Anolis sagrei: one gene and its partners. The protein of the gene in region 1 purifies or fractionates together with the protein of each later gene. This does not show direct contact. Links are inferred from orthologs where the notes say so. Each region holds a gene or a part of one and is shown in the gene's direction. Other genes may lie near its edges. The genes, in order: SNRPF, CLNS1A, DDX20 and SF3A2.

The links.
Region 2: the proteins of SNRPF (region 1) and CLNS1A purify together in Homo sapiens (affinity purification with mass spectrometry; 3 studies listed by BioGRID and IntAct, counting the BioPlex papers as one, with this or other methods). This does not show direct contact. The link is inferred for Anolis sagrei from reciprocal best matches to the Homo sapiens genes SNRPF and CLNS1A.
Region 3: the proteins of SNRPF (region 1) and DDX20 purify together in Homo sapiens (affinity purification with mass spectrometry; 5 studies listed by BioGRID and IntAct, counting the BioPlex papers as one, with this or other methods). This does not show direct contact. The link is inferred for Anolis sagrei from reciprocal best matches to the Homo sapiens genes SNRPF and DDX20.
Region 4: the proteins of SNRPF (region 1) and SF3A2 purify together in Homo sapiens (affinity purification with mass spectrometry; 4 studies listed by BioGRID and IntAct, counting the BioPlex papers as one, with this or other methods). This does not show direct contact. The link is inferred for Anolis sagrei from reciprocal best matches to the Homo sapiens genes SNRPF and SF3A2.

The regions. Positions count from the first base shown.
Region 1 is NC_090025.1:155,432,961-155,440,870, forward strand, and holds the start of SNRPF (small nuclear ribonucleoprotein F), read left to right. Parts: upstream 1-4,899; 5' UTR 4,900-5,044; coding exon 5,045-5,047; intron 5,048-7,889; coding exon 7,890-7,910. UniProt on the Homo sapiens protein: Plays a role in pre-mRNA splicing as a core component of the spliceosomal U1, U2, U4 and U5 small nuclear ribonucleoproteins (snRNPs), the building blocks of the spliceosome.
Region 2 is NC_090023.1:9,832,584-9,839,755, reverse strand, and holds the start of CLNS1A (methylosome subunit pICln), read left to right. Parts: upstream 1-4,170; 5' UTR 4,171-4,256; coding exon 4,257-4,375; intron 4,376-7,172. UniProt on the Homo sapiens protein: Involved in both the assembly of spliceosomal snRNPs and the methylation of Sm proteins.
Region 3 is NC_090024.1:199,508,861-199,516,577, forward strand, and holds the start of DDX20 (probable ATP-dependent RNA helicase DDX20), read left to right. Parts: upstream 1-4,665; 5' UTR 4,666-4,680; coding exon 4,681-4,945; intron 4,946-7,717.
Region 4 is NC_090034.1:51,590,104-51,597,161, forward strand, and holds the start of SF3A2 (splicing factor 3A subunit 2), read left to right. Parts: upstream 1-4,094; 5' UTR 4,095-4,220; intron 4,221-7,058. Other genes in the region: PLEKHJ1 (pleckstrin homology domain-containing family J member 1), read right to left, coding at 1-23, 3,929-4,094. UniProt on the Homo sapiens protein: Component of the 17S U2 SnRNP complex of the spliceosome, a large ribonucleoprotein complex that removes introns from transcribed pre-mRNAs.

The DNA.
Region 1 (7,910 bases):
CTGCACATATACTTTAGTCCAAATAATGAATGTAAAATATGTGGAAGAAAACAATAACACAGAAATAAATACAATTTTCTCAGAAACTGCTTATGAAATCCCACCAGCAAACTGTACTGTTTTTAAATACTCTCCCAATAGGATGGCTGTTTAATCTGTGTGCGGAAGAACTGTGACAAATCCAAAGAAAAAATGCATTGCTGTTACACAATGCCAATACAAAGAAGGGCAGATTTTCAGCCTTATAAATGTGCAACCATTTATTCTATTTCGTTTGCTCAAAAATTGCCTTCATTTCCACATAAACATTTCATGCCTTGTGGACAAATGAGGTTGGTAAGATCAATACAAATGATATTCATACTGTCTTTCATAATGATAGAAATATTGGGAATATTACTTATTTCATTTATATTCTGGATTTTCTCCTAAAACTAGGGTGCATCTACATTCGAGTATTAATGCAATTTGATACCACTTTAACTGCTGTGGCCCAATGCTTTGGGGTCGTGGGAGCTGTAATTTTATGAGGTCTAGCCTTCTCTGCCATAGGTTGGTATCTCATTAAACTATCGCCCCAAGTTTTCATAAGCTTTGAGCCATGGCAGTTAAAGTGGTATCAAACTGCATTAATTCTACAGTGTAGATTATCCTTTGATTGGGGTTAAAATAAGTTAGATCGGAGTGTACTACCTCTCACACAGCTGAATAAAATCCCACATTTTCTGCTTTGAACTGGAATATATGGCAGTGTGGGCTCAGTTCAAAGCAGATATTGGGGGATTTTCTGCCATGATATTCTGGATTATACGGCTGTGTGGAAGGGCTCACAGAAAGTGCTGACCATGAATTATCTTACAGACTTCAATATTTCATAAGTGTCACATGATGTCAAGGAATACACAAAGCGAGTACACAAATGAAATAATATAACCCGGCTTACCTATCTGAACGTATTTCCCCTTATGAACCTTCTAGGATGTTAAGATCTTCTGGGGAAGCCCTGTTCTCGCTCCTGCCTACTTCGCAGTTGTGTCTGGCGGAGACGAGAGACACGGCCTTCTCAGCGGTGACCCCTCAACTGTGGAATGCCCTGCCTAGAGATATAAGATCGGTTCCCTCCCTTCTGACTTTTTGAAAGAAGGTGAAAACCTGGCTTTTTGAGCAGGCCTTCCCAAACACAGCATAGCTAAAGGAAATTATGGAACAACACAATGGAATAATGATTTGGCATGGAGACGCTCATGACAATGCTTTAAGGCTTTGTACGGTTTTTATATATTTTTATATTTTTATACTATATGTTATTGTATTTAATAGAATTTATTGACTGTTTTTACTGTTTAATTGATATGGCATGGAATTGTTGCTAATTTGTGAACCGCTCCGAGCCACCTCTGGGCTGAGAGGGGCAGTATATAAATATAGTAAATAAATAAATAATAAATAAATAACTGCCATTTCATTGTTCCTGGTTATTACTCTGCTTGTCCTTCCACCTAGCTCCCAGTTTGACATTCTATTATTTCATGTGTCTATCACTAAACACCGCCACAAATTAAGGAAGACTGACAGTTGTAGTTTTTGAGGGAGATATCACTTTGGCCTCATCTACACTGCCATATAATGCAGTTTGAAGCTGCATTGTATGTACAGTGAAGACCAGGAATGGGCAAACTTTGACCCTCCAGGTGTTTTGCACCACCGGTAGGTAGGCTGTTAGGAATTATGGAAATTGCAGTCCACAACATCTGGAGGGCTAAGGTTTGTCCATGCCTGGTGTAGACTCATGTAATGCAGTTCAATTCAGGCTGGATTTGCACTGCTGTATAATCCAGTTCAGAGCAGATAATCTGGATTTTATATGGCAGTGTAGTAGGGGCCTTAGTCCTCTAGAATGTCATTTTGGGTCACCAGCCTGCAACAGTTGTCCTGGCCACTCCTGATATGAATAGGATTATAGTCAAACCAAAACTATTTGCTGACACCTGCTGGTCAATATAAATATAGCAATTCATAGGACCCAATACATCTGATGGAAAGAGATACTAAAAATGTTCAAGTACCTAATAACAATACATTGACCATTAACAGCATTCTGATTGTAATTCTGAGACATTGGCTTCTTCATCAGACAAAGATGTTAAAAAGCATGCACAAGTAAAAGAGTGATGCTATTAGAGTCTCAGGCCTTTATTCTAACAGATGGCATGGAGAGTCTTCAATGCAGTCAAAGGCTCTTCACTGTAAAGTCTTGTGAAGACGGGAGGAAGTTGCTTCTACACTATAGAATTAATGCAGTTTGACATCATTGTAATAGCTTTCCTTTTGGTAAAAAAAAAAGTTATATTTATTTATCGTACCAGGAGCGAACCAAGGGTACAATTGTATTGCATTTTTTTTAAAAAAACAACAACATAAAGTTTGAAAACTTAGCATTATATTACATGTCTTGTCGAAGGCTTTCATGGCTGGAATCACTGGGTTGTTGTAGGCTTTTCGGGCTCTATGGCCATGTTCTAGAGGCATTCTCTCCTGATGTTTCGCTGCATCTATGGCAAGCATCCTCACAACCTCTGAGGATTATTATTTTTTTGTCGTGTCAGGAGCGACTTGAGAAACTGCAAGTCGCTTCTGGTGTGAGAGAATTGGCCGTCTGCAAGGATGTTGCCCAGGGGACGCCCGGATGATTTGATGTTTTTATCATCCTTGTGGGAAGCTTCTCTCATATCCCCGCATGAGGAGCGGGAGTTGATAGAGGGAGCTCATCCGCCTCTCCCCTGATTCGAACCTGCAACCTGTCGGTCTTCAATCCTGCCAGCACAGGGATTTAACCCACTGTGCCACCGGGGGCTCCACCTCTGAGGATGCTTGCCATAGATGCAGCGAAACGTCAGGAGAGAATGCCTCTAGAATATGGCCATATAGCCTGAAAAGCCTACAACAACCCATGTTACATGCCCTTTGACCAGTAGCTGGCCACTTGGAGTGCCTCTGGTGTTGCTATAAGAACGTCCTCCATTGTGCATGCGGCAGGGCTCAGGATGCATTGTAATAGGTGGTAATAATGATAAGGATAAAGATGATGATGATGATGATGATGATGATGATGATAGAGGTGCTTTGCAGTGGATCAATTGGCAGTTCCATCGTAACTGCTTTCCTTTCCATTGAGAATACTATCAGTGGGTTGCTGTGAGTTTTCTGGGCTGTATAGCCAGAAAATGGACATCTCTCCTGACGTTTCACCCACATCTATGGCAGGAATCCTCAGAGGTTGTGAGGTCTGTTGGAAACTAGGCAAGTGAGGTTCATATATCTGTGGATAGTCCAGGGTGGAAGAAAGAACTCTTGTCTGCTTGAGGCAAGTGTGAATGTTGCAAATGGCCACCTTGATTAGCATTGAATTGCCTTGCAGCTTCAATGCCTGGCTGGTTGCTGCCTGGGGGAATCCTTTGTTGGGATGGTAGCTGATCCTGATTGTTTCCTGCCTGCAATTCGGCAGCCAGGATGCTAACAGGAGCGGCACTCAGGGAGCACACCACTCCACTGCTGCGCCAGCTCCACTGGCTGCCAATTTGCTACCGGGCACAATTCAAAGTGCTGGTTTTAGCCTTTAAAGCCCTAAACGGTTCAGGCCCGACCTACCTGTCCGAACGCGTCTCCTCCTATGAACCAGTTAGGACATTAAGATCATCTGGGGAGGCCCTGCTCTCGATCCCGCCGGCTTCACAAGCACGCCTGGCGGGGACGAGAGACAGGGCCTTCTCAGTGGTGGCCCCTTGGCTGTGCAACGCCCTTCCTGTAGATATTAGATCGACCCCCTCCTTGCTGGCATTCCGGAGGAAAGTAAAGACCTGGCTGTTTGAACAGGCATTCGACTAAGCAGTGTGATTGATTGACTGACTATCGGAACACGGAATATTGGATAACGAGTTGGATTCTGATTTCATTGCTGAGGCCTGATGGATTTGTTATATTGATGTAGTGATGTATTGATACTGATGTTTAATGATTTGTGATGCTATTGCTTTTAAATGCTTAATGATGGACTACGCTTGGATGATGAGAAGATTGGATACGGTTGTTTTTTGTAATAATTGTGCATTGTAATTGCTTATTGGTAATTTATGGATAATGTGTTAAGTCAATTGTTTTATGTTGTATGGAACCACTGCTGTTTCTACTGTTTTTACTGTTTGTGAACCGCCGTGAGTCGCCTTCGGGCTTGAGATACAGCGGTATATAAGCAAAGTAAATAAATATTGTGTATACCTAAATTGTTGTAAACCGCTCTGAGTCTCCTAAGGGCTGAGAAGAGCGGTATACAAATAAAGTAAATAAATAAATTCCCCTGTTTTCTTGGTGTTGTTCTTTATTTACTGTCCTGATTTTAGAGATTTTTTAAAATACTGGTAGCCATATTTTGTTCATTTTCATGGTTTCCTCCTTTCTGTTTTAATTGTCCACATGCTTATGGATTTCAATGGCTTCTCTGTGTAGTCTGACATGGTGGTTGCTAGAGTGGTCTAGCATTTCTGTGTTCTCAAATAATTTGCTGTGCCCAGTTTGGTGCTCTGCTTTGGCTGACTTCTCTGTTGAAGTAGCCTTTCATATTCCTTGAGTCGTGTTTCCCAAAGGCTGGCCCCCTAGGCGTTTTGGACTTCAACTCCCAGAATCCCTGATCATTGGCCAAAGCAGCAGAGGCTTCTGGGAGTTGAAGTAAAAAAAAAGCCCGGAAGTGCCTCACTGATAATCCTAGTCTCTAAATTCCATCGAACATTGGCAGCTGTAGCCCCGCCTCTATTGTGCGAAACGAGCCAATCAGAGCGTGGCTTTCCCCCCAACAGACAGAACGCCATAGAAAGAGGGGATAAAATAAATAGCAGAAGGAGGGAAAAATGCGCGGGTGAAAGGTCATTAGGAAGACGGAACTAGCTGGACGTCACTTCCGAGTATTTCATTTAGAGCTCTGGCGGGCACACGTGCTGCCTGAGAGTAATTTTTGTGTGCTTGCAGCCTCCCCTTCCTTGGCCGGGTTGCTATGGTGAGTGCCTTTGTCTTTGGGAGGAAAGAGGGGCTTTGCTGCGGGCCTTAGGCCCTCGGGAGCCGGATCATAGTGAGGTTCAGGCGGGAGGAAGGAAGGAAAGGGCGGCTGGGAGGCCCCACAGCCTCGGATATAGTGGGCTGGGAAGCCAGCCCTTGGATACAAGCGTCCACCTGCTTGTCTCCCTCGAATACATTGGACTACAAGGCCCCTTATCCTCATGGCAGGGAGCAGTGGGTGATGGGAGTTGTAGTATTTATTTTTTATTTATTTACGACATTTATATGCCTCTCTTCTCACCCCGAAGGGGACTCAGAGCGGCTTACAAGGTATATATATACACACACACATACATACATACAATATATGATATTAATAGTACAGTACAATATCAGTATTAAATATTACTATATTGTATTATACCATTATATTTTAATATTATTAGTAATATAAATATATAATTATAATATATTAGTATTATATTGCAATGCATTATAATATTATAAATATTATATGTATATCTATCTATATAAAATGCTCTGTGCATAATGAGTACCTTAAAAACAAAAGAACCAATGAACGAAATCCCACCAAATTTGGCAACAAAATGTCTCACTACACAAGGAGTGACCATCACTCAAAAAAACTATGATTTCGTCATTTGGGAGTTGTAGTTGTTGGGATTTGTAGTTCACCTATAATCAAAGAGCATTCTGAACTCCACCAACAGTGGAATTGAACCAAACTTGGCACACAGGTTTGGTGGGCATTGACCTTGAGTTTGGGAATTGTAGTTCACCTACATCCAGAGAGCACTGTGGACTCAAACAATGATGGATCTAGACCAAACTTGGCATGAATACTCAATACGCCCAAATATGAACACAGATGGAGTTTTGGGGAAATAGACCTTGACATTTGCGAGTTGTAGTTACTGGGATTTATAGTTCTCCTGCAATCAAAGAGCATTCTGAACCCCACCAACGACAGAATTGGGGCAAATGAACCCCCATGACCAACAGAAAATATGTAAGGCCATCCAGTCCAACTCCCTTCACCAGGGCAAGAAAACGTAATCAAAACCCTCCTGACAAAGAGCCATCCAGCCATAGATATAGATAGATATATATGATTCACACACACACAAATATAATATTATAGATTTGAAAGGGACCCCTAAAGTAGGACAATGTTATGTTGCATGTTCCAGGGTGGGCAAACCATACACTCTCCACATCAACACTGACAAAGAAACAACAAGAAATACTGTTTACCCACAAGCAGAAAGAAATTACATAGATTAGAAACCATTACTTTATTTTTCAGATCACCAGACTGGGCCACAGCAATGCGTGGCAGGGGACAGCTAGTATAATTATAATATATTAGTATTATATTGCATTACATTATATATATATATAAATTAGAATAGCACAGGAGACAAGGTGGAACTGTCTTCTACTCCCCTCTGTCTTCACTCTGGCCCAGAGCAGCAGTTGGTACTTGGGGGAGGGGTCCCCAACTGATGACGCAGTGTATAGAGGAATGTCAGGTTTGGATCACACTGTAGATCAGGCACAGGCAAACTTCAACCCTTCCGGTGTTTTGGACTTCAATTCCTAACAGCCGGTAGGGTTACAGCCTGTGCTTGACAGGGTTACATTCCCCCTGAAGGTGCAGGTGTGATCCTGGACTCATCGCTGAGCCTGGAACCCCAGGTTTTGGCGGTGGCCAGGAGAGCTTTTGCACAGTTAAAACTTGTGCACCAGCTGCACCCGTACCTTGGGAAGCCTGAATTGGCCATGGTGGTCCACGCTCTTGTTACATCCCAAATAGACTACTGCAATGCACTCTACATGGGGTTGCCTCTGAAGACTGCCCGGAAGCTTCAACTAGTCCAACGTTCGGCAGCCAGATTGCTCACTGGGGCTGGGTACAGGGAGCTCACAGCGCCCTTGTTACGCCAGCTCCACTGGCTACCTATCAGCATCTGAGCACAATTCAAAATCCTGGCTTTGGCCTATAAAGCCCTGAACGGTTCTGGCCTAGTTTACTTGTTCAAACGTATCTCCCGCTACGATCCACCTAGGGCCCGAAGATCATCTGGGGAGATCCTGCTCGTTGTTCCCCCATTGTCACAATCGCATCTGGCGGGGACCAGGGGCAGGGCCTTTTCTGTGGTGACCGCCGGCTATGGAACTCCCTCCCGAGTGAAATTAGATCCCCTGCATCCCTCTTCACCTTCCAGAAACAAGTAAAATCTTGGCAATGCGATCAGGCCTTTGTAGATTAGGCTGACTTGCTGACGTGTTGACTTATACAGAACTGATGGACTCCCCTTGGATGATGATTTAAACCGGTGACCACTGACTGATTGATTGATCGTTTTTATACTGTTATTACTGTTATTGTTATTATATTGCCGTTAAATTGTGTATTTATGTTTTTGATGTGGGCGCCATGGTGTGCCGATTTGTTAGCCATCCTGAGTCCCTCTGCTGAGGTTGAGATAGGGTGGGATATAAAAGCCCGAAATAAATAAATAAATAAATAATAAGAGGTTGTAATTTCAAACAGTGGGCTACATTTTTTTTTTGATCCAATGTAGTTCTTAAAGTTCTGCTTTGACTTTAAACTGAGGCTATTGAAAATTGTGAGGCATAAAGCTTTAACAACTGATCAGGAACATACATTACCATATGAGAAGCAGTATATTTCTGTGAAAGAACACAAGTGATGTCCTCATGCATTGCTTTCTTTATGCATCTAGTATTCAGCGTGTGAGTAGAATGCCTTTTTTCTGATTTATCAGATTTCTTACATTCCACTTTGTCCCATGCAGAGTTTGCCTCTCAATCCAAAG
Region 2 (7,172 bases), on another chromosome or scaffold:
TGGCAAGCATCCTCAGAGGTAGTAAGGATGCTTGTCATAGATGCAGGCAAAACGTCAGGAGAGAATGCCTCTAGACCATGGCCATATAGCCTGAAAAAACCTACAACAACCCAATGATTCCGGCCATGAAAGCCTTCGACTATATATATATATGCAGTTTTTGGGATGTTGTTAGGACCGCTGCCTGCCTTCTCCAGCTCTGCGGGGGCCTACCTCACAGTGACAACTCTTTTTGTGCAGGTCCTTTTTGTGGTTCACTCTTTGCTTCCTCAGTTTCCCTCATACACCTTCTCCCTTTCCCTTATTCTTCCTTTCCTTTCTTATTTCTTCCTTTCCTTCTTCCCTTGTTTTTCTTCACACATCTGTTTCCCTTTCCTTCATTTCCTTTCCTTTCTCTTTTTCTTCCTTCCCTTTTTCCATTTATTGTTCCCTTCTCTTGTCTTTCCTTCCTTTTCTTCTTCCCTTGTTTTCATTCACACATCTGCCCCTCTTCTTTTTCATTCTTCCCTCCCTTCTTCCATTCTTCCCTTCCTTTCTTGTTTATTCCTTTCTTTCTTCCCTTGTTATATTATTTATTTTGAACATTTCTACTCTGCCCTTCTCAACCCCTGGGGGGACTCAGGGCGGCTTACAATTGGCAACAATTCAATGCCACAACATAAAATACAGAATAACAAATATAACAATTATACATGAACATTAATAAAGATTAAAACAGTATACTTAGATTCTGATTAGCTATTGCCCGTCTGGTGGCCGTTTAGCTAGCCATCTACTAATGATTACTCCACTTATCCAAATCCTCTTCCATGCCATAGTCAACATTATCAATTGTCCTTTAATCTGATTGCCCAAAGGCCTGGTCCCACAGCCACGTTTTAACCTTTTTTCTAAAGGTGAGGAGGGATGACCTAATTTCCCCGGGGAGCAAATTCCACAGGTGGAGGGCCACCACTGAGAAGGCCCTGTCCCTCGTCCCCACCAAGCGTGTTTGAGACAAAGGCAGGGTCGAGAGCAGGGCCTCCCCAGACGATCTTAAGTTCAGAGGTGGCACGTAGAAGGAGATACGTTCGGACACCTATCCCCTTTCTTTTCCTTTCTTCCCTCCCTTTCTCTTCCCTTGTCTTTCCTTTATTTCTTTCCTTCTTCCCTTGTTTTCCTTCACACATCTGTCTCCCTTTCTTTACCTTACCTTTCGCTTCTTTTTCTTCCTTCCTTTTCATCCTTTTTCCTTTCCTTTCCAATTTCTTTCATTCTTCCCTTGTTTTCTTTCACACATGTGTCCCTTTTTCCTCCTTCTCCTTTTCCTTTTCTCTATTTCTTTCTTCCCTCCCTTCATCCCTTCCGGTCTTCAATCCTTTCCTTTCCCTCTTTTTTTCCTTCACATACCTGTCCCCCTTTTTTCTCATTTCTTCCTTCCCCTTCTTTTCCTTTTCTTTTTTCTTCGCTCCTTTCTTTCATCCCTTCTTTTCTCCTCCCTTTTGTCTTTTTTTTCTTCCTTCCCTTTATACCCCTTTCCCTTTTCATTCTTTCTTTCCTCCCTTCATCTTATACGTGTCACCTTTCTTTCCTAGTGACATCACAGAGGGCCACTTCACCTAGCAACAACCAATCCACTTTGTTCCTTGTCTTTCCCGCTGCTCTGAAAGGGCCTTTTTCCCCCCCAAACCCCTCAATTATTTTAAGTTGGATAATGAAGGTGTCACATTTGGTCCAGATCCATCAAGCCATGGAGGAGGCTTTGTGGTACAAACCAACATAAATATATACAAACTCTGACTTTTATAGATTTAAATAATACTTTTCTGCATGAAACACAGTTTGTCTACATTGAACCATCAGACAGCAAAAGGCGCTACTATCACAGTCAACCATGTGGACAATTTTGAATTTCAGAGTATTTAATAGTTCCGGATAAAGGTTACTCAACCTTTATCTCCTTAGGTGCCTTAATGCTTAGTCCACATTCAGGTCTGAAGTAGTTCCCTCTCTTTTCTCATTTTCTTCTATTTTTTGCTCTGTAATTGTACTTCTAAAAAAGAAATCAAAGACTTGAGCAAAGAGCAATGTAAGGATACTCAATGTGGATAATCAATTGTAAAGGTGCCGTGTACTTGCAAGAACTAACAAGCACTATTATCATCCGTTTCGGATCAAGTTTGAGCAGTTCCAAGGTATTGTGACCTTTCATTGATGGTTTGTGGGTTATATAAATTATTATTATTATTATTATTATTATTATTATTATAGTTCTTTCCTGCACTGCCTCTGAGGATGCTTGCCATAGATGCAGGCGAAACGTCAGGAGAAATGCCTCTAGAACATGGCTCTATAGCCCAAAAAAACCCACAAGAACCTAATGTGTTTACTATTCTTATGCTGGACAAAATAATACTATATTATTATATTTTATAATTACAATTTTATATATTATTATTAGAATCAAAGGGTTGGAAGAGACCATCCAGTTCCCTACTGTATACAGAGAAAAGAACAAAAATGTTTACTATTATGTTGGACAAAATAATACTATACTATTATCTTTATATTTAATAATGTATTATATTTTGTAATTTATTTGATATTATAATAATTATTAATTCTATTATTATTATCATCATTATCATTATTATTATTACAGTTCCTTCCTGCAGGGAAAAGAAACAATATAAAAACTACAAAACATTAATACAGTTCGCTACTGTATACAGAGAAAAGAACAAAAATGTTTATTATGTTGGACAAAATAATACTATTTAAAATAATACTATTATTATAATATTTTATAATTACAATTTTATAATATATTATATTTTGTAATATATTATACTTTGTAATTTATTTTATATTATTATATTTATTATTATTATTATTATTACAGTTCCCTCCTGCAGAGAAAAGAACAAAAATGTTTACTATTATGTTGGACAAAATAATACTATACTATTATCTTTATGTTTTATACTTATAATTTTATAATGTATTATATTTTGTAATACATTATATTTTATAATTTATTTAATATAACTTTATTATTATTATTATTATTATTATTACTACAGTTCCCTACTGCTGAGAAAAGAACAAAAATGTTTACTATTATGTTGGACAAAATAATACTGTACTATTATTATTATTATATTTTATAATTACAATTTTATAATGTATTATATTTTGTAATTTATTTGATATTAATATATTTGATATTATTATTATTATTATTACAGTTCCTTCCTGCAGGAAAAAGAAACAAAAATGATTACTATTCTTTTGCTGGATAAATTATTATTATTATTATTATTATTTACTATATATATATATATATATATATATATATATATATATATATAATGTAAATAATAATAATAGTAATAATAATAGTTTATCTAGTATAAGAGTAGTAAACATAATAATTATATATATATATTCTCACTTTCTCTATATATATAAATTACTATTACTATTATTATTTACAATATATATACATAATGTAAATAATAGTAATAATAGTAATAATAATTTATCTAGTATAAGAATAGTAAACATAATAATTATTATATATATATATATTCTCTTTCTATATATAAATTATTATTACTATTATTATTTACTATATATATATATAATGTAAATAATAATAATTTATCTACTGTAAGAATAGTAAACATAGTAATTATTATAATATATATATATTCTCTCTCTCTCTACTATGATTATTTATTTTATATCATTATTATTATTATTATTATTATTATTATTATTATTATTAAGAGACAAGCCTTATTGAGAAAGGCCTTAGCTCAGGCCTAGGCCAACTTGGGCCCTCTGTGTGTTTTGGACTTCAACTCCCACAATTCCTAACAGCCTAATAGGCTGTTAGGAATTGTGGGAGTTGAAGTCCAAAACACACAGAGGGCCCAAGTTGGCCTAGGCCCGTCTCGTTTTAGACTAACATCCAACATGGCCGCCTTTCATTCCCCGCTTTAGATACTCCCGAACTCCGACTCCCAGAATCCCACTGCCTTAGTCGTTATGGCAAGGGCTTCTGGGAGACGAAGTCCGGAACTCTCAGTGGATTATGACGTCACGGCGTTGTGGCGAAGGAGAGAAAGGGAGAGACGCAGAAAGGTCTTTGTCGCGTGAGGCGGAAGCGGAAAGAGGTGACAGCGCGCTGCTTCCGGTTCCTCGCGTTTCCGTTTTGTGCCGGAGCGGAGGGGACGCGGCCTAGCTGTTTCCTCCCCTCCTTTCAGGCAGCCATGAGTTTCCTGAAACGCCTCCCGGAGCCGAGCGAAGGCGTCCGGCTGAGGCAGGCCGAGACCGAAGCCGTGCTGGGAGGGCGACGCCTGGGCAGCGGGACCCTCTTCGTGGCCGAGAGGTGAGTCGCCGAGTTTGGGTAGGCCTCACCTCGAATCATAGAATCCTAGAGTTGGAAGAGACCTCATGGGCCATCCAGTCCAACCCCATTCTGCCAAGAAGCAGGAATATTGCATTCAAATCACCCCTGACAGATGGCCATCCAGCCTCTGCTTAAAAGCTTCCAAAGAAGGAGCCTCCACCACACTCCGGGGCAGAGAGTTCCACTGCTGAACGGCTCTCACAGTCAGGAAGTTCTTCCTCATGTTCAGATGGAATCTCCTCTCTTGCAGTTTGAAGTCATTGTTCTGCATCCTAGTCGCTCTCTTGTAGAATCATAGAATCCTAGAGTTGGAAGAGACCTCATGGGCCATCCAGTCCAACCCCATTCTGCCAAGAAGCAGGAATATTGCATTCAAAGCACCCCTGACAGATGGCCATCCAGGAGAGAAGCATTCCCTCCTGACGTTTCGCCCACATCTATGGCAAGCATCCTCGGAGGTTGTGAGATGCGTTGGAAACTAGACAACTGAGGTTTATATATCATGTTTAACAAGTTAAACATGAGCCAACAATGTGATGTAGCGGCAAAAAAAGCCAATGGGATTTTGGCCTGCATCAATAGGAGCATAGTGTCTAGATCTAGGGGAGTAATGCTACCCCTCTATTCTGCTTTGGTTAGACCACACCTGGAATACTGTGTCCAATTCTGGGCACCACAACTCAAGAGAGATATTGACAAGCTGGAATGTGTCCAGAGGAGGGCGACTAAAATGATCAATGGTCTGGAGAACAAGCCCTATGAGGAGCGGCTTAAGGAGCTGGGCATGTTTAGCCTGAAGAAGAGAAGGCTGAGAGGAGATATGATAGCCATGTATAAATATGTGAGAGGAAGCCACAGGGAGGAGGGAGCAAGCTTGTTTTCTGCTTCCTTGGAGACTAGGACACAATGGAGCTATGGCTTCAAACTACAAGAAAGGAGATTCCATCTGAACATTAGGAAGAACTTAATAGAATCATAGAATCTTCCTGACTGTGAGAGCCCCAGAGACCTTCTTTGGAGGCTTTTAAGCAGAGGCTGAATGGTCATCTGTCGGGGGTGCTTTGAATGCAATTTTCTATCCAGTCCAACCCCATTCTGCTAAGAAGCAGGAAAATGGCATTCAAAGCACTCCCAACAGATGACCATTCAGCATCTGCTTAAAAGCCTCCAAAAAAGGAGCCTCCACCACACTCCAGGGGAGAGAGTTTCATGGCTGAACTGCTCACACAGTTAGGAAGTTCTTCCTCATGTTCAGGTGGAATCTCCTTTCCTGTAGTTTGAAGCCATTGGGTTGTTGTAGGTTTTTTGGGACTATATGGCCATGTTCTAGAAGCATTCTCTCCTGACGTTTTGCCTGCATCTATGGCAAGCATTCTGAAAGACCTCACAACCTCTGAGGATGCGTGCCATAGATGCAGGTGAAACGTCAGGAGAGAATGCCTCTATACCTAATGATTCCAGCCATTAAAACCTTCTACAATACTTTGAAGCCATTGTTCCATCGCATCCTAGTCTTCAGGGCAGCAGAAAACAAGCTTGCTTCCTCCTCCCAATGACTTCCCTCACATCTTGATACATGGCCCTCAAGTGATTGTAGTCCAGAAACAGTATTTTTTCCTTGGCTTTGTTGACAAAAGGACTTCCCATTCAGATATTATGTAAAACAAAATATCAGTACTCAAAATACCCAGTGGCGATGGATAGGTGAAGGAGCCGGGCTGTTCAAGAGAATCAAGTCCTTCTGGCATTCTTATCAGTATGCAGAGATGCTAGAACATCACTGCATGTATGTCAGCAGAATTTAGCTCTGTAATTTCAGTAACTGGAATGCAGGTATACCTCAGTTCACAAATCCTTTGAGAAAGTAGCTTCTTTTACAAAGCTTTTTTTATACCTGCCAAGCCCCACAGTCCCCCTTTCTCTCTGTCTGACTATTTTTTTTTAGTAGTAACTGCATTGGCAGGATGGTGAAGGAGTGCCGGAGTAACAAGAATTTATTTTTTATTTATTTATTTCCTGTCCTTGTATACCGCCGTTTCTCAGCCTAACTGGCGACTCAACACGGTTTACAACAAAATATACAGTGCACAGTATACAATTAAAACCATAAAAACATAATACACAATATTACACGTAAATCACAATCCAATACATCTCCTAACTAAAATCCTGGTCCAATTTCATCATCCATATTACCAATCCGTAATCAACACATTCATTGCACCGAATTAACCAAATGCCTGCTTGAATTTGGTGTTACGTTGCAGAAGCATATTTTGTAATAAACAATAAATAAAATCTATATAAATAAAAATGTAATGTTCGTTTAACATAACTCAAAAACCACTGGATGAATTGACACTAAATTTGGACACAAGACACCTATCAGGCCAACGAGTGACCATCACTCATAAAAACACTGACAAACACAGCAGAAGAGACTTAAAAGGTCAAAAAAGCAAAAAACGCTACAGCACATGCGCAAAAACTACTCTCCTGGCAAACAAAACACACAATAGCATAACTACACTCTCTTCCGGACTACAGCTCCCAGCATCCCCTAGACAAGGCCCTTTAGGAGAGGAGGATGATCCAAATGCACCGCTTCTATGCTGCAAGCTTTCTTCTCCTTGGAAATCTTTGAGCGCATCCCAAAACCTGCATATCTCCAGTTTCCTATTCCTGGACTGCAATTTCCAGCAATCCTCCAGTTAGATAGATTAGATAGAGATAGGTAGATAGATGGATGGATCAGGACTACTGGGAGTTGCAGTCC
Region 3 (7,717 bases), on another chromosome or scaffold:
CAAAAACCTGAGCATAACTTGGGTGGAGTGTCACTTTGAGAAAAAAACCCCATAATTTTGCAATATTTATAGTTTAAATAAGAAAAATGTATAATCCATGCTGAGTTATGGAGTGAACAATGCTCAAACGTGCAGATGTTAAATTTGTAAAGCCTTTTACAAATTGAAAGATGGAATTAGATTGGCTCTTATAAAGTCTATTTCTCTGTATGTGGCCGCATGTGTCTGCGTGTCATCAAAATAGCCATGCGTGTCAATGATGACACGCATGTCATAGGTTCACCATCACGGGCTTAAGCATTGGAGGAAGGACATTATGAAGGTATGAACGGAGGATGAATGGTTTAAGTGTTTTAATGAAATAAAATGTGAAAGAAAAGAAAAACAATAGTCCATGTTATATTTCACTATATAATGTAACACCTAGAAATTAATTGGAGAAAAATGTCCATACACATGAATCAAGCTACACACATGTGGTACAATAGTTTGGACCAGACATAACCAACATGTCAGAAGCTTTTACTTTGACTTTTAGATAATCTAAAAAAACAAACAAAACCCTGGTTGTCTTAAATTGGACTTTTCCAGTCTTTTCCCCTGGAAAAACCCTTGAATGTAATTTTCAGGTCTCAATGAGCTCCTGCAAAAAGTTACATCTAAAGCTGAAAAGAGTTATATTTTACAGTCATTGAATTCTTTGTAACTTTTCTGGCAAACCATGGCTGAAAAAAAGTTTAAAATTATGATTTGGGCTGGATACACACTACCAAATAATGCAGTCTGAATTGCATTATGTGGCCACTATAGATTCATATAATGCAGTTTGAACTGCCCTTAACTGTATTATATGGGTCGACACAGGTCATATATTGATTGTGTAGATCCGGAAATGAAAATGAGTCAGGCCCATAACACAAGAATGAGATTTCCTGAGATGTCTTCATGTTGTGATAAAATAGTTCAAAGACTAACCAAATATACTAGTTAATCTAAATTCTTACCCATAAGAAATATAACGCATGTTCCTTGAGCTACTGCTCTTGCAACATTCATGTGGCTTATTTCCAAATGTTCGATCACCACACCTGATTTTGTATGCCTTCACATGCGCTTGGTTAATTTGTTACTCCTTCTCATTAATAAGAAGTGGGATTATTTTTGATGCCGAGCAACTATTTTGAATTATACTCTCCCTGCACATCAAACATCAATACTGTATAAAAGATGTATCCTATATGCAGATTGCACCCTCTTCTGGCGAGAATCAGTATTTCCAATATCTATTAACAGCCCGGAAAACTCACAGCAACCCAACAACTAAACTTGTTATGTGAATTTATTTTAACCAGTAACTAATAAGTATCATTTGCTAAGAATAGCAATTCAAAATGAAAACCTTGTGAGGTCTCCAGAGGAGGGCAATGCCATATGAGGAGTGCCTTAAATAGATGAGTATTTTTCGCCTGCAGAAGAGAAGTTTGAGAGGAGACATGATAGTCATGTATAAACATGTGAAAGGATGTCATAAGGAAGTGGGAGGAGACTTGTTTTCTGCTGCTCTGGAGACACAGCTGAATAATATCCCACACAGCTGAATAATATCCCACATTTCCTGCTTTGAACTGGAATATATGGCAGTGTAGTCTCAGAACATGGAGCAATGGGTTAAAATTAGAGGAAAGGAGATTCCACTGGAAAATTAAGAGGAATTTCATGACTGTGAGAGCTGTTCAGCAGTGGAACTGTTTTGGAGTGTGGTGGAAGCTCCGTCCTTGCAAACTTTTAAAGAGAGACTGGATGGCCATCTGTCAGGCGTACTTTGATTGTGCTTTTCCTGCATGGCAGGAGTTAAGGTGGATGGCCCATACGGTCTTTTCTAACTCTATGAGTCTAATATAGAATTTAACTAAAGAATACTGCTGACCACTATTTCAAATTACCATATCACAACAAATTTTAACCCCCCCCCCAGCAATATAATCAGAATGTTATTTCTTTTTGGAAATGCTCCTTTTTGGAAACTGTTCTCAAACTAGCCTAGAACATAATAAAAAGGACAATCAACATAGTGCCTTTCCACACAGCCATATAACCCAGAATATTAAGGCAGAATAACCCACAATATCTGCTTTGAACTGGATTGTCTGAGTCCACATTGCCATATATCCAAGTTCAAAGCAGGTAATGTGGGATTTTAATTCAGATGTGTGGAAGGAGCCATAGAAAGAGGACAAAGATTTGCTTGAGGACGCCCATTCCATTCCTATAGATTCCTATTTGAAGACAAGGGGTCCACCCACAGTGTGGAATTGATGCAATTTGACACCACTTTAAACAGACATGGGTCAGTGCTATGGAATCCTGGGAATTGTAATTTGGGGAGGAGAAGGTTAAAGACCTTGTCAAACTACAACTCCCTTGATTCCATAGCATTGAGCCTTGGCAGTTGGTGGTGCCAAAACCGCATTGATTCTACAGTGTAGAAGAATTGAAAGATTTATATCCATGGATTTATTCCAAATAGATGTGTTGTTCTAATTCACCATTATTACTATCATCATCATCATCATCATCATCATCATTATAGGAACTCAAGGCAGCTAATAATTTAGAAACAAATACCACCCCCCTCCCCCCGCACACAATTAGATATACGAGGGTTCAATGAAATATAATGCCTCCACCTTCGCAACTCAACAGATGGCAGTACTGGTATGCGGCAGGTACTGGCTTGTTCATTAGGCTCTCCTTGACAGTTCCATTTTGGTGGGAAGCCTTAACATTGAACAGTTGTGTTATTAAAGTGTGAAGAATGGAACCCTGCGCAGATGGTCGGTCAATGCGACTTAAGCAATGTGTAGTCATTGAATTCTTGACAGCAGAAAGTGTCACCCCAAAGGAGATTCATCAAATAATGCAAGCTGTTTATGGTGATTGTGTTGATGTGAGTACTGTGCATCATTGGGCGAGAAAGTTTAAAGGTAATGAGGTGGGAAAATCTGACTTGCGTGACAAACAAAGAGCTGGACGTCCTGTGACAGCAACCATTGAGTTTCACAAGCAAATGGTTGACAGATTGATTCAGGATGATCGTTGTATAACTCAGAGAGAAATTTCAAGCATAATCGGAATTCACAAGAACGTGTGGGTCACATTATTGCTTTGCTTGGCTATTGAAAAATCTGTGCACGATGGGTACCCAGAATGCTGATGCCTGAAATGAAAATGCACAGACTCGAAACTTCAGAGGCTGGATCTCACCACCGTATGGCATCCTCCACACAGTCCAGATTTAATGTATTGTCGAAGGTTTTCATGGCCAGAATCAATGGGTTGTTGTAGGTTTTTTCGGGCTATATGGCCATGTTCTAGAGGCATTCTCTCCTGATGTTTCGCCTGCATCTATGGCAAGCATAAATCTGGTGGAACTAGGAAAACTGGGTTTATATATCTGTGGAATGACCAGGGTGGGACAAGCTCCAGCAGAGAAAAGTCCTTTGTCCCACCCTGGTCATTCCACAGATATATAAACCCTTTTTCCTAGTTCCAACAGACCTCACTACCTCTGAGGCGAAACGTCAGGAGAGAATGCCTCTAGAACATGGCCATATAGCCCGAAAAAACCTACAACAACCCAGTCCAGATTTAGCCCTGTCTGACTTCTATCCTGTTCCCGATAATGAAAGATCTGCAGGAACATCATTATGCTTCTGATGAAGACATTGAGAGAACTGTGAGGCGCTGGTTGCGCAAACAGAGTGTCGACTTCTTCTGTGACGGCTTCAGAAAACTTGTTCATCGTTGGCAGAAATGTATCCAATTGTCTGGTGATTATGTGGAAAAGTGAATAGTGGTAGTTAAAGAGCACATTCTAAGGATTATTTCTGTATTTTCGAAAGCTTTCATGGCGAGAATCACTGGGTTGTTGTAGGTTTTTTCGGGCTATATGGCCATATTCTAGAGGCATTCTCTCCTGACATTTTGCCTGCATCTATGGCAAGCATCCTCAGAGGTCTGTTGGAACTAGGAAAAAGGGTTTATATATCTGTGGAATGACCAGGGTGGGACAGTGAATGTTTCAACTGACCACCTTGATTAGCATACAATGGTCTGACTGTGCCTGGGGCAATCTTTTGTTGAGAGGTGATTAGAGGTCCCAGATTGTTTCCTCTCTGTTGTTTTGCTGTTGTAATTTTAGAGGGTTTTTAAAATACTGGTAGCCAGATTTTGTTAATTTTTTCTGTGTTTGATTTATTAAAATATTCCCCTCCAAACCCAAGTAATGAAGGTGGAGGCTTTACTTTTCAGTCAACCCTCGTATGTGCGTCATTCATTCAAAAAGGAAATGTCACGGATTACTAGAGACTTTGCACAGTATCTGTCAGGATTACAGCCCCAAGGATGATAAATATACAGATAACAATAAGCTATTATGACACATGCTTCCTATTCTCTCAACTGTGCAGTTCAGTAAGCCCAAGTTTGAACGAGATTGAACTACGCCCCTCCCCTTCAGCTTGCCCAATGGTTTCTCCCACCTTCTGAATCTTTGTCCAATCAGGCTCCATCGTTTACTCCCTCCCCTCCCTTTGGGCGCCAAAGTGCTATTCCTCCTCCTTCCACCCCTCCTCTCTCAAATGGTTTGTTCTCATTCGCTGGCGTTCGCCGCGCGGGACGATGCAGAGGTGGGGAGAACCTGCTCTCATTCTAGTCCGGACTTCTCGCGAGATTTGCGGCAGCATTCTGTCCAAGATGGCGGCTGTGGAAGCATCTCACGCTGAGGGCTGGCTTCGTACCCGGGACGTTCACTTGCAAGAAGGGCCCGAAGACTTCAGCTCGCTGCTGCTGTCCCCGCTGGTGCTGGAAGGACTGAAGGCTGCCGGGTTTCTGAGGCCTTCTCCCGTGCAGCTGAAAGCCATCCCTCTCGGGAGATGTGGTTTAGGTGAGGGGAGGACGTTGTGGCTCTTAGGCTGCATTTAGATCAGGTATAGGCAAGCTTTGGCCCTCCAGGTGTTTTGGACTTCAACTCCCACAATTCCTAACAGCCGGTAGGCTGTTAGGAATTGTGGGAGTTGAAGTCCAAAACACCTGGAGGGCCAAAGCTTGCCCATACCTGATCTAGACTAGATTCAATGCAGTTTGGCATCACAGCCATGGCTTAGTGCTATGGGGTCCAGGGAGTTGTAGTTTGGCGAGGCACCAGCATTTTTGTTGGCATAGGGAGCTAAAGACCATGTAAAACGAAAATATTCATGACTAGCCGTCCCCTGCCACGCGTTGCTGTGGCCCACATGGGGATTCTGTGTGGGAGGTTTGGCCCAATTCTGTCGTTGGTGGGGTTCAGAATGCTCTGTGATTGTAGGTGAACTATTAATCCCAGCAACTACAACTCCCAAATGTCAAGATTCTATTTTCCCCAAAGTTCACCAGTGTTCATATTTGGGCATATTGAGTATTTGTGTGGAGTTTGATCCAGATTCATCATTGTTTGAGTCCACAGTGCTCTCTGGATGTAGGTGAACGACAACTCCAAAACCAAAGGACACTGCCCACCAAACCCTTCCAGTATTTTCTGTTGGTCATGGGAGTTCTGTTTGCCGAATTTGGTTCAATTCCATCGTTGGTGGGGTTCAGAATGCTCTTTGATTGTAGGTGACGATAAATCCCAGCAACTACAACTCCCAAATGACAAAATTATTTTTTTTGAGTGAAGGGCATACATTGGGTTGTTAGGTGTCTTGTGTCCAAATTTGGTGTCAATTCGTCCAGTGGTTTTTGAGTTCTGTTAATCCCACAAATGAACATTACATTTTTATTTATATAGATTCCATAGTATTGAGCCATGGTAGTTAAATGGTGACAAACTGCTTTAAGTCTACAGTGTAGAAGAGGTGCGTCCTTAGTTTGTTTTGGGGTTTTTTGCGTCTTATTTATTATTTATTTATTTCCTATATTTATATCCCACCCTTCCGAGGGCGGCTTCACAAAGCATCATATGGTGTCATCATCATAAAACAATCAACAGTACATTAAACATATTGAAAAATATGAAAAACATTAGTTAAAACAATTAATTAACACACGCCTATTAAAAATTGGAGTCCAAAATCCAGTCTGGGTCAAATCATTGCCGTAAGTGTTAAAATCTCCTTTTACTTGTTGCTCACTGATCAACCGCTTGGTCCTATAGCCAGGTCTTGATTTTCCTTCTAACAGACAAAAGGGATGTGGCCACTCTGATATCTCTGGGGAGAGCTTTCCACAGGCAGGGGGCCACTGCTGAGAAGGCTCTGTCCCTCATCCTCACCAGTTGCGTTTGCGATGTCGGTGGGATTGAGAGCAGGTCCTCCCTACTCTCTTGTCTGTGCTTTGCTATTTTTTTTCTGCTCAGACTGGGGAAACTCAAGAAGTCTTGTCAAAGGCTTTCCTACCCAGAATCACTGGGTTGATTTTCGGCTGTATGGCCATGTTCCAGAAGCATTCTCTCCTGACATTATGCCTGCCATAGATGCAGGCAGAATGTCAGGAAATAATGCTTCAGAAACATGGCCATACACCCAAAAAACTTATAGCAACCTTAAGAAGTCTTCTCGTTAAGGCTCTGGTTGCTTCATTTGTAACAAAATAAAATTAAAATTTAAGAAAAGTTTAAATTGTAATTAATTTCTAAATTGAATGGATTCTTCATTTACTGTCAGAAACGAGATCAAGACATGAACTTTTGTATTGCAGAAAAGGACATTTCAGAGGAATGAAGCTTAGTGGGATTGGTGGTTTTATTTAGCTTTTGGAGGTTGCCAAACACATGGGATGCATCTACACTATAGAATTAATGCACTTTGACAACCACTTTAACTGCTATGGCTTAGTGCTATGGAATCAGGAGAGTGGTTTGGTGGAGAAGACATTGAGCCATGCCAGTTGAAGCGTTAGACTGCATCAGTTCTATAGTTTTAAATGCATCTATGGTTATTCAAGTGTTGGGGTTTCCCAAAGGGTCCCCATCATGTTTTTGAACTGTAGCTCCCATAATCTGTCATTCTCCATGACTTAGCCAAAAGTCAACTGGTAACTTAATGGCAAATATACACACCCCTGAGTCCTAGTCACAGTACTTCTGCTGTAATGACAACTTAACCTATTATTATCTTTATTGTTGTTCTTGTTGTTATTATATTTATTGATACCCTGCTTTATCTCTCCTGAAGGAGACTCAAAGCAGTTTAACATAAAAGCATTAACATACAATTAAAATATACAAATATGCAAACATTTAAACAGAATTAAACCTAACAGTATTAAAAATTCACAGTTAAAATCCATTAGAACATATTCAAAGTTAAAAACCACAGCAGCCTCTTTAAAAGCCTGTCTGAATAAAAAGGTTTTAACCTGCTGCCAGAAGAGCAGCAGGGAGTGGGCCATTCTGGCTTCCCTGGGCAAGGAGTTCCAGAGTCGTGGAGCAGCCACATGTTCCCACCAACCAAGCTTGAGATGGAGGTGGGGCCGAGAGAGGGACCTCTCCTAAACATCTCAAGGCAGGGCAGGCTTGTACAAGGGGATGTGGTCAGCCAAATAGCCTGTACCTGAAACGTCTCAGGCTTTAAAGGTCATAAACAGCATTTTGAATTGTGCCCGGAAACAGACTGTCAGCCGGTGAAGCTGCTGAAACAGGGGGTTTAATAAATTTGTTATGGTTTAAGAAGGTTAGATG
Region 4 (7,058 bases), on another chromosome or scaffold:
TTTCACCAGGCGCTTCTTCAGGGCTACAAAAAGAGAGACATCCAAATTGAAATATTAAATCAATAATAATATAATTATAATAACTTTATTTTTATATCCCGCTACCATCTCCTTGAAGGGACTCGGGGTGGCTTACGCATGGGACAGAATGTCCACAAGACATAAAAGCAAAAACAATCTATAAAACTACATACATTAAAAGCATTGTAAAATACAACAACCCAAATAAAACACACATTAAAAATATTAAAAAGCATAAAACATTGCATCAAAGCCCGTCAGATCAGGCTCAACAAAAACTAATGAGCAAGCTAACTAAAATGGGCATGAAAAAGATAAAAAGGGGCTGGGCAAGGAATAGTGCAAATAGTATACATAGGAAGTGGATAGATGTAGAACTGTCTAGCAACCTAGGGGCTGGGCCTACATCACTAAGGACTAGTCATTCTTGAATGCTCGCTGGAACATCCAGGCTTTCAGATCCCTACAAAAAGGGGACAGTTTGGGGGCTTGCCTAATCTCCCTGGGAAGGGTCAGGGGGGCACAACCAAGAATGCCCTCCCTCATCTCTACCAGCGTGCTTGTGACGGTGGTGGAAGCGAGAGGAGAGCCTGCACAGCAGATCTTAGAGATCATACCAGTTCTTAGGGGGGATACGGTCACGAAGATAGGAAAGACACTAACTGCTTAAGGCATTGTAGGTCATAATCTGCACTTGAATTGCAACTAGAAACCTATCAGCCGCCAGTGGAGCTGCTTTAATAGGGGCACTGTGTGCTCCCTATAATTAGCTCCAGTTAGAAGCCTGGCTGTCGACCTTTATACCAGCTGCAGTTTCTGAGCAACTGGTACAGCCCTACGTAGTGTGCATTGCAATAATCCAATATTGAAGTAATTAAGCCATGGATCACCGTGGCCAAATCCGGCTTCTCGAGGTATGGTTGCAGCTGGCGCACAAGTTTTAACTGTGTGAAAGTCCTCCTGGCCATCGCCGACACCTGAGCTTCAAGTGTCAGCGCTGAGTCCAAGAGGACCTCCAGACTGCAGACCTGTGCCCTCAGGGGGAGTGTAACCCCGTTGAGCATGGGCTGCCATTTTATACCTCTATCAGCATCATGACTGACCAGGAGGACCCCTGTCTTATCTGGATTAAGCCTCAGTTTGTTGGCCCTTATCCAGACCATCACAGCTGCCAGACACTGGTCCAAGATCTGAGGGGCTTCCTTGGATTTAAATGGAAAGGAGTAGAATTGTGCTTAATTTGCGTACAGATGGCACCAAACGCCAAAACTCTGGATGACCTCTCCCTTTCATGTAGATGTTGAAAAGCATGTGAGATAGAATGCAACCTTGCGAGACCCCACAGGTCAATGTCCAGGGATCCGAACAGGGGTCCCCCAGCATCACCATCTGGGTGCGATCCTCCAGGAAGGAGTGGAGCCACTGCGAAGCAATACGCCCCAAGACCCATTCCAGAGAGCCGACTCAGAGCAAGACCATGGTTGATGGTATCGAAAGCTGCTGAGACATCCAAGAGAACCAGCAGGGAAACAAACACTCCCCCTGTCTAGCTCTCTGCGGACGTCACCCACCAAGGCGACCAAAGCCGTCTCTATACAGTGACCAGGCCTAAAACCAGACTGTGATGGATCAAGATAATCGAGTTGAATGAGTTCTGTTTAATTTTAATACTCCCCATGTTTAATTCTGGTTTAAATGTTTACTTGTTTTTGGCTTTAAAATGTAGACTTCTATTTATTTTATTATACTTTTTGAAACATTGTTGGCTGCTCTGAGAGAGAGAAAAGCGAGATATAAAACTAGAAATATTATTAATATATATTATTGGTAATAATAATGTATAAATAAAAATACTCAAATAAAATAAACCCAGGCCACTCAATGCTGCCGAGCAGGGGTCCCACAACATCACCATCTGGGTGCAATCCTCCAGGAAGGAGTGGAGCTACTGCAAAGCAGTGTCTCTCCCTTTCATGCAGATGTTGAAAAGCATGGGAGATAGAATGGGACCTTGCGGGACCCCACAGTCAATAGACAGGGATCCGAGCAGGGATCCCCCAGCATCACCTTCTGGATGCGATTCTCCATGAAGGAGTGGAGCCACTGCAAAGCAATACCCCCAGGACCCATTCCAGAGAGCCGACCCAGAGTGAGACCATGGTCAATGGTATCGAAAGCTGCTGAGATATCCAAGAGAACCAGCAGGGACACACTCCCCCGTCTAGCTCCCTGAGGAGGTCATCCACCAAGGCGACCAAAGTCGTCTCCATACAGTGACCAGGCCTAAAACCAGACTGTGATGCATCAAGATAATCGGTTTGAATGATCTTCTGTTTAATTATAATACTCCAATGTTTAATTCTGGTTTTAATGTATTGTCGAAGGCTTGTCACACACACAGATAGATATCTACATAAAAACTCCAACCATCACCCAAGTAAAAAAAGAAGCACCATTAAAGCCTTGGCAGACCGTGCAAAAAAGAATCTGCGAACCCCACCTCCTTCAAGATGAACTGAACCACCTCAACTGGGCTCTACAGGCCAATGGAGACTCCACCTCAGACATCAGAAGAGCTGCAAGACCAAGAACAAGCCACAAGAGTAAAGATGAAGATCCACCCAGAGGAAAAGTGTTCTTGCCATACATCAAGGGAACCACTGACCGCATAGGGAAGCTGATGAGGAAACACAACATACAAACAATCTACAGACCCACCAAGAAAATCCAACAAATGCTACGTTCAGCAAAGGACAGAAGGGATTCTCTCACTTCTGCAGGAGTCTACTGTATACCATGCAGCTGTGGACAAGTCTACATAGGGACCACCAAACGCAACGCCCAGACACAAATCAAGGAACATGGAAGGCACTGCAGACTACTTCAACCAGAGAAATCAGCCATAGCAGAGCACCTGATGAACCAACCTGGACACAGCATTTTATTTGAGAACACAGAAATACTGGACCACTGTCACAACCACCATGTCAGACTACACAGAAAAGCCATTGAAATACACAAGCATGTGGACAATTTCAACAGAAAGGAGGAAACTATGAAAATGCACAAAATCTGGCTACCAGTATTAAAAAACTCTAAAATTGCAACAGCACAACAACAGAGAGGAAGCAGGCAGGGACATATAATTACCTCTCAACAAAAGTTTGCTCCAGGTACAGTCAGGCCATTATATGCTAATCAAGGTGGTCAGTTGAAACATTCACACCTAGCTCCAGCAGATAAGAGTCCTTTGTCCCGCCCTGGTCATTCCACAGATATAGAAACCCTTTTTCCTAGTTCCAACAGACCTCACTACCTCTGAGGATGCTTGCCATAGATGCAGGCGAAACGTCAGGAGAGAATGCCTCTAGACCATGGCCGTACAGCCCGAAAAAACCTACAACAACCCTCTGGTTTTAATGTTTACATGTTTTGGCTTTAAAATGTAGACTTCCATTTATTTTATTATATTTTTTGAAACATTGTTGGCTGCTTTGAGAGAGAGAAAAGCGAGATATAAAAACAGAAATACTATTAATAATATATATAATTGGCAACATATAAATAAAAAATACTCAAATAACATAAACACAAGCCACTCAATGCTGCCTAGGCAAATATTCCCAATCCTACATGAAATCTGTAATATTTCTGAGGATTTAAAGGCCACTCAAGTTTCTAGTCCAGAATAGGAAAGGGAAAAGCCTCCCAAAAGGTAGTACTACTTGAGAGGCGTGGCCTGCGGCGTGACGTCACGCGACACCGCCCTCGCGACTCGAATGGGCTGTTTCCCTGAGGGGCGTGGTTTGGACCGTGACGTCACGAGGCTGGTCCCTCCCTGTGCGTCGTGACGCCGCCGCTTGGTCTCTGTTCCCCTCCCCCCTCCTTATTCTCTCTCCTCACTCACGGCTTCCCTTCTTGGGCGCCCGCATGAGCACCTCGGCGGCTTTCTCCGCCGGCTGCCGCGAGAGCGAGAGCAACTCCCGCTCGTTGAACCGCATGGCCGACGCCCCCCTCTCGCGGTAAGAGGCGCTGCAATAGTCCCACTTCCGCTCCCGGCCTCTTCTCGACATCACTTCCGGCGCGCGAGCCTGAGACGTTTTGGCCGGAAGTGGATCCTTGAGCGGCGCGTTTGGCTTTTTCCCGTGCTCTTTCTCTCTCCCAGAGAGGAGAGGAGATTGAAGCGGGGCCGAAGCGGGGTAAGCAATGGCGTCCTGAGGGTCTAGGGAAGGGTTCCAAACCTTTGGCTTCAACCAATGTTGCTCTATATCTTTGCCTGGTTTAATTGCATGTATTGGCCTCTTGAGGGTTTATGCCAGGCATGGGCAAACTTGGGCCTTCCTCCCGGGTGTTTTGGACTTCAACTCCCATAATTCCTAACAGCCTCAGGCCTTTTCCTTTTCCCCCTCAGCCGCCTAATTGTAGTGCTCGCCAAATCAGTTCATGGGAAATCCGATCAAATGCTTTTTCGAGATCAAGGAATACAAAGTTCAGTGGTTTCCAACAAATCAGTACATTATTATTATTATTGTTATGGCCAGAGTTAACTTCACACTTGCACAGCCTCAGCGCGTTCCAGCAGCTTTCCTCCTGCTCAGAAGATTTTTCAGTCTTCTGCTTCCACAGTAGATACTTGAGCACATGCCAGGCCATTATCCAGTTTTTACCATTGTCTTTCCCCCAGTTTAGATGATATTACATACTCACAGACTCACCACAGTACGCACTATCTTGTCCAAGTAGACAGGTTCTTTTATAGTCTTTGACGAATAACAGCACAACATCAAAGGAAGGGGAATATACATTGTACATGGTTTCCTTATATACAATACATTTACAATACATTTACTCCTTGATTGCTTACCAACTAATTGACCCAACCCAAACCCAGGATTGTGTCATAGACAATCACTCTGAGTAGGCAAAAACACATTTCCCAAATGATTCCCCACATACAATCAATACATTCTCAGCATTCCCAACAGAAGCCCATTAACCCATTAGCAGTGCATGACTCAATACATAGTAAAACCTAACAATTATTTTATTATTAACTTTATTTGTACCCCGCTAGCATCTCGCGAAGGACTCGATGCCCCTTACAAAGGCCAAGGCCTCAAAATACAACATAACAATACAAAACCTAAGCAAATTAAAAACAATTAAAGCAATATTAACAACAAGCAATAAACAATACACCAAGACACAATAAAACTGGGCCGGGCCAGAGTAATGGGTACAGAATTAAAAGTGCTGATGTGACAGGTGATATGTAAGGATTATAGGGTAAGTGCAGTGTGCAGTATGCAACAATCTTAATTCTAATAAAGTGCTTCTGGGACTTGGTATTGGAGATTCCTAATCTGGGAAGGCACATCGGAACAGCCAGGTCTTCAAGTTCTTCCTAAAGACTGCCAATGTAGGGGCCTGTCTAAGATCTTTGGGGAGGGTGTTCCAGAGTTGGGGGGCCACCACAGAAAAGGCCCTGTCTTGCGTCCCCACCAAACGCGCCTGCAACGCAGGCGGAATCACGAGCAGGGCCTCTCCGGATGAACGAAGTGAGCTCGTGGGTTCATAAACGGAGATGCGGTCAGGCAGGTAGGATGGTCCCAAACTGTTTAGGGCTTTGTAGGTAAGCACCTGCACCTTAAATTGGGCTCGGAAAATAAACAGCAGCCAGTGGAGCTCCTTGAACAGGAGGGTTGACCTCTCTCTGTAAGCAGCACCAGTTAACATCCTGGCCGCTGCCCGTTGGACCAGTTGGAATTTCCGAGCCGTTTTCAAGGGCAGCCCCACGTAGAGCGCATTACAGTAGTCCAATCTAGAGGTGGCCAAGGCATGGACCACCCCGGCCAGATCAGCCTTTGCGAGGTACGGTCGCAGTTGGCGCACAAGTCTCAATTGTGCAAAAGCCCTCCCGGACACCGCCGACGCCTAAGCCTCAAGCGTAAGCGATGAATCCAAGAGGACTCCCAAACATATAAAAACATAATACAGATTAAAACATTAAAGAATATAAAACACCACAAAAGTAATAAAAACAACATCATTAGCGTCTCATTATTATCAAGCATTGTCCAGTTCCATTGTCAAATCGTTCAATTTCCTGTATTAGCTACTCTGCATTTATAAATGCGTGCTCGAACAGCCATGTTTTAACTTGCCTCCGAAACGTTAAGAGGGAGGGAGCAGATCTAATCTCCCTAGGGAGGGCATTCCATAGCCGAGGGGCCACCGCTAAAAAGGCCCTGTCTCTCGTCCCCGCCAAACATACTTGAGACAAAGGCAGGACCGAGAGCAGGGCCTCCCCAGATGATCTTAAAGTCCTTGATGGTTCGTAAAGAGAGACACGTTCAGACAGGTAAGTTGGGCCAGAACCATTAAGGGCTTTATAGGCCAAAGCCAGCACTTTGAATTGGGCCCGGTAGCAAACCGGCAGCCAGTGGAGCTGGCGCAACAAGGGGGTTGTATGCTCCCTGAGCGCCGCTCCTTTTAGCAACCTGGCTGCTGTTCGTTGGACTAGTTGAAGCTTTCGGACCTTTTTCAAAGGCAACCCCACGTAGAGAGCGTTGCAGTAGTCTATACGGGATGTAACCAGAGCGTGGACTACTGTGGCCAAGTCAGACTTCCCAAGATATGGGCGCAGCTGGCGCACAAGTTTTAACTGTGAAAATGTTCACCTGATCACTGCCGAAACCTGAGGTTCCAGGCTCAGCGATGAATCCAGGATCACTCCAAGCTGCGAACCTGCGTCTTCAGTGGGAGTGTAACCCCATCCAACACAGGCTGAAACCCTATGCCCTGTTTGGCCTTGCGACTGACCAGGAGAACCTCTGTCTTGTCTGGATTCAATTTCTTTTCCCAATGATTTTCCATGAGTAACCGGACAGCATATATTGCATCTATTGTGCCACACTCCCTGACAAAGCCACACAGATTTGGTGTAATGGCTGTGTGTATATATATGTGTGTCTGAATATATAATAGTAAATAATAATAAATTTGGCCACGGTGGTCCACGCTCTGGTTACATCCTG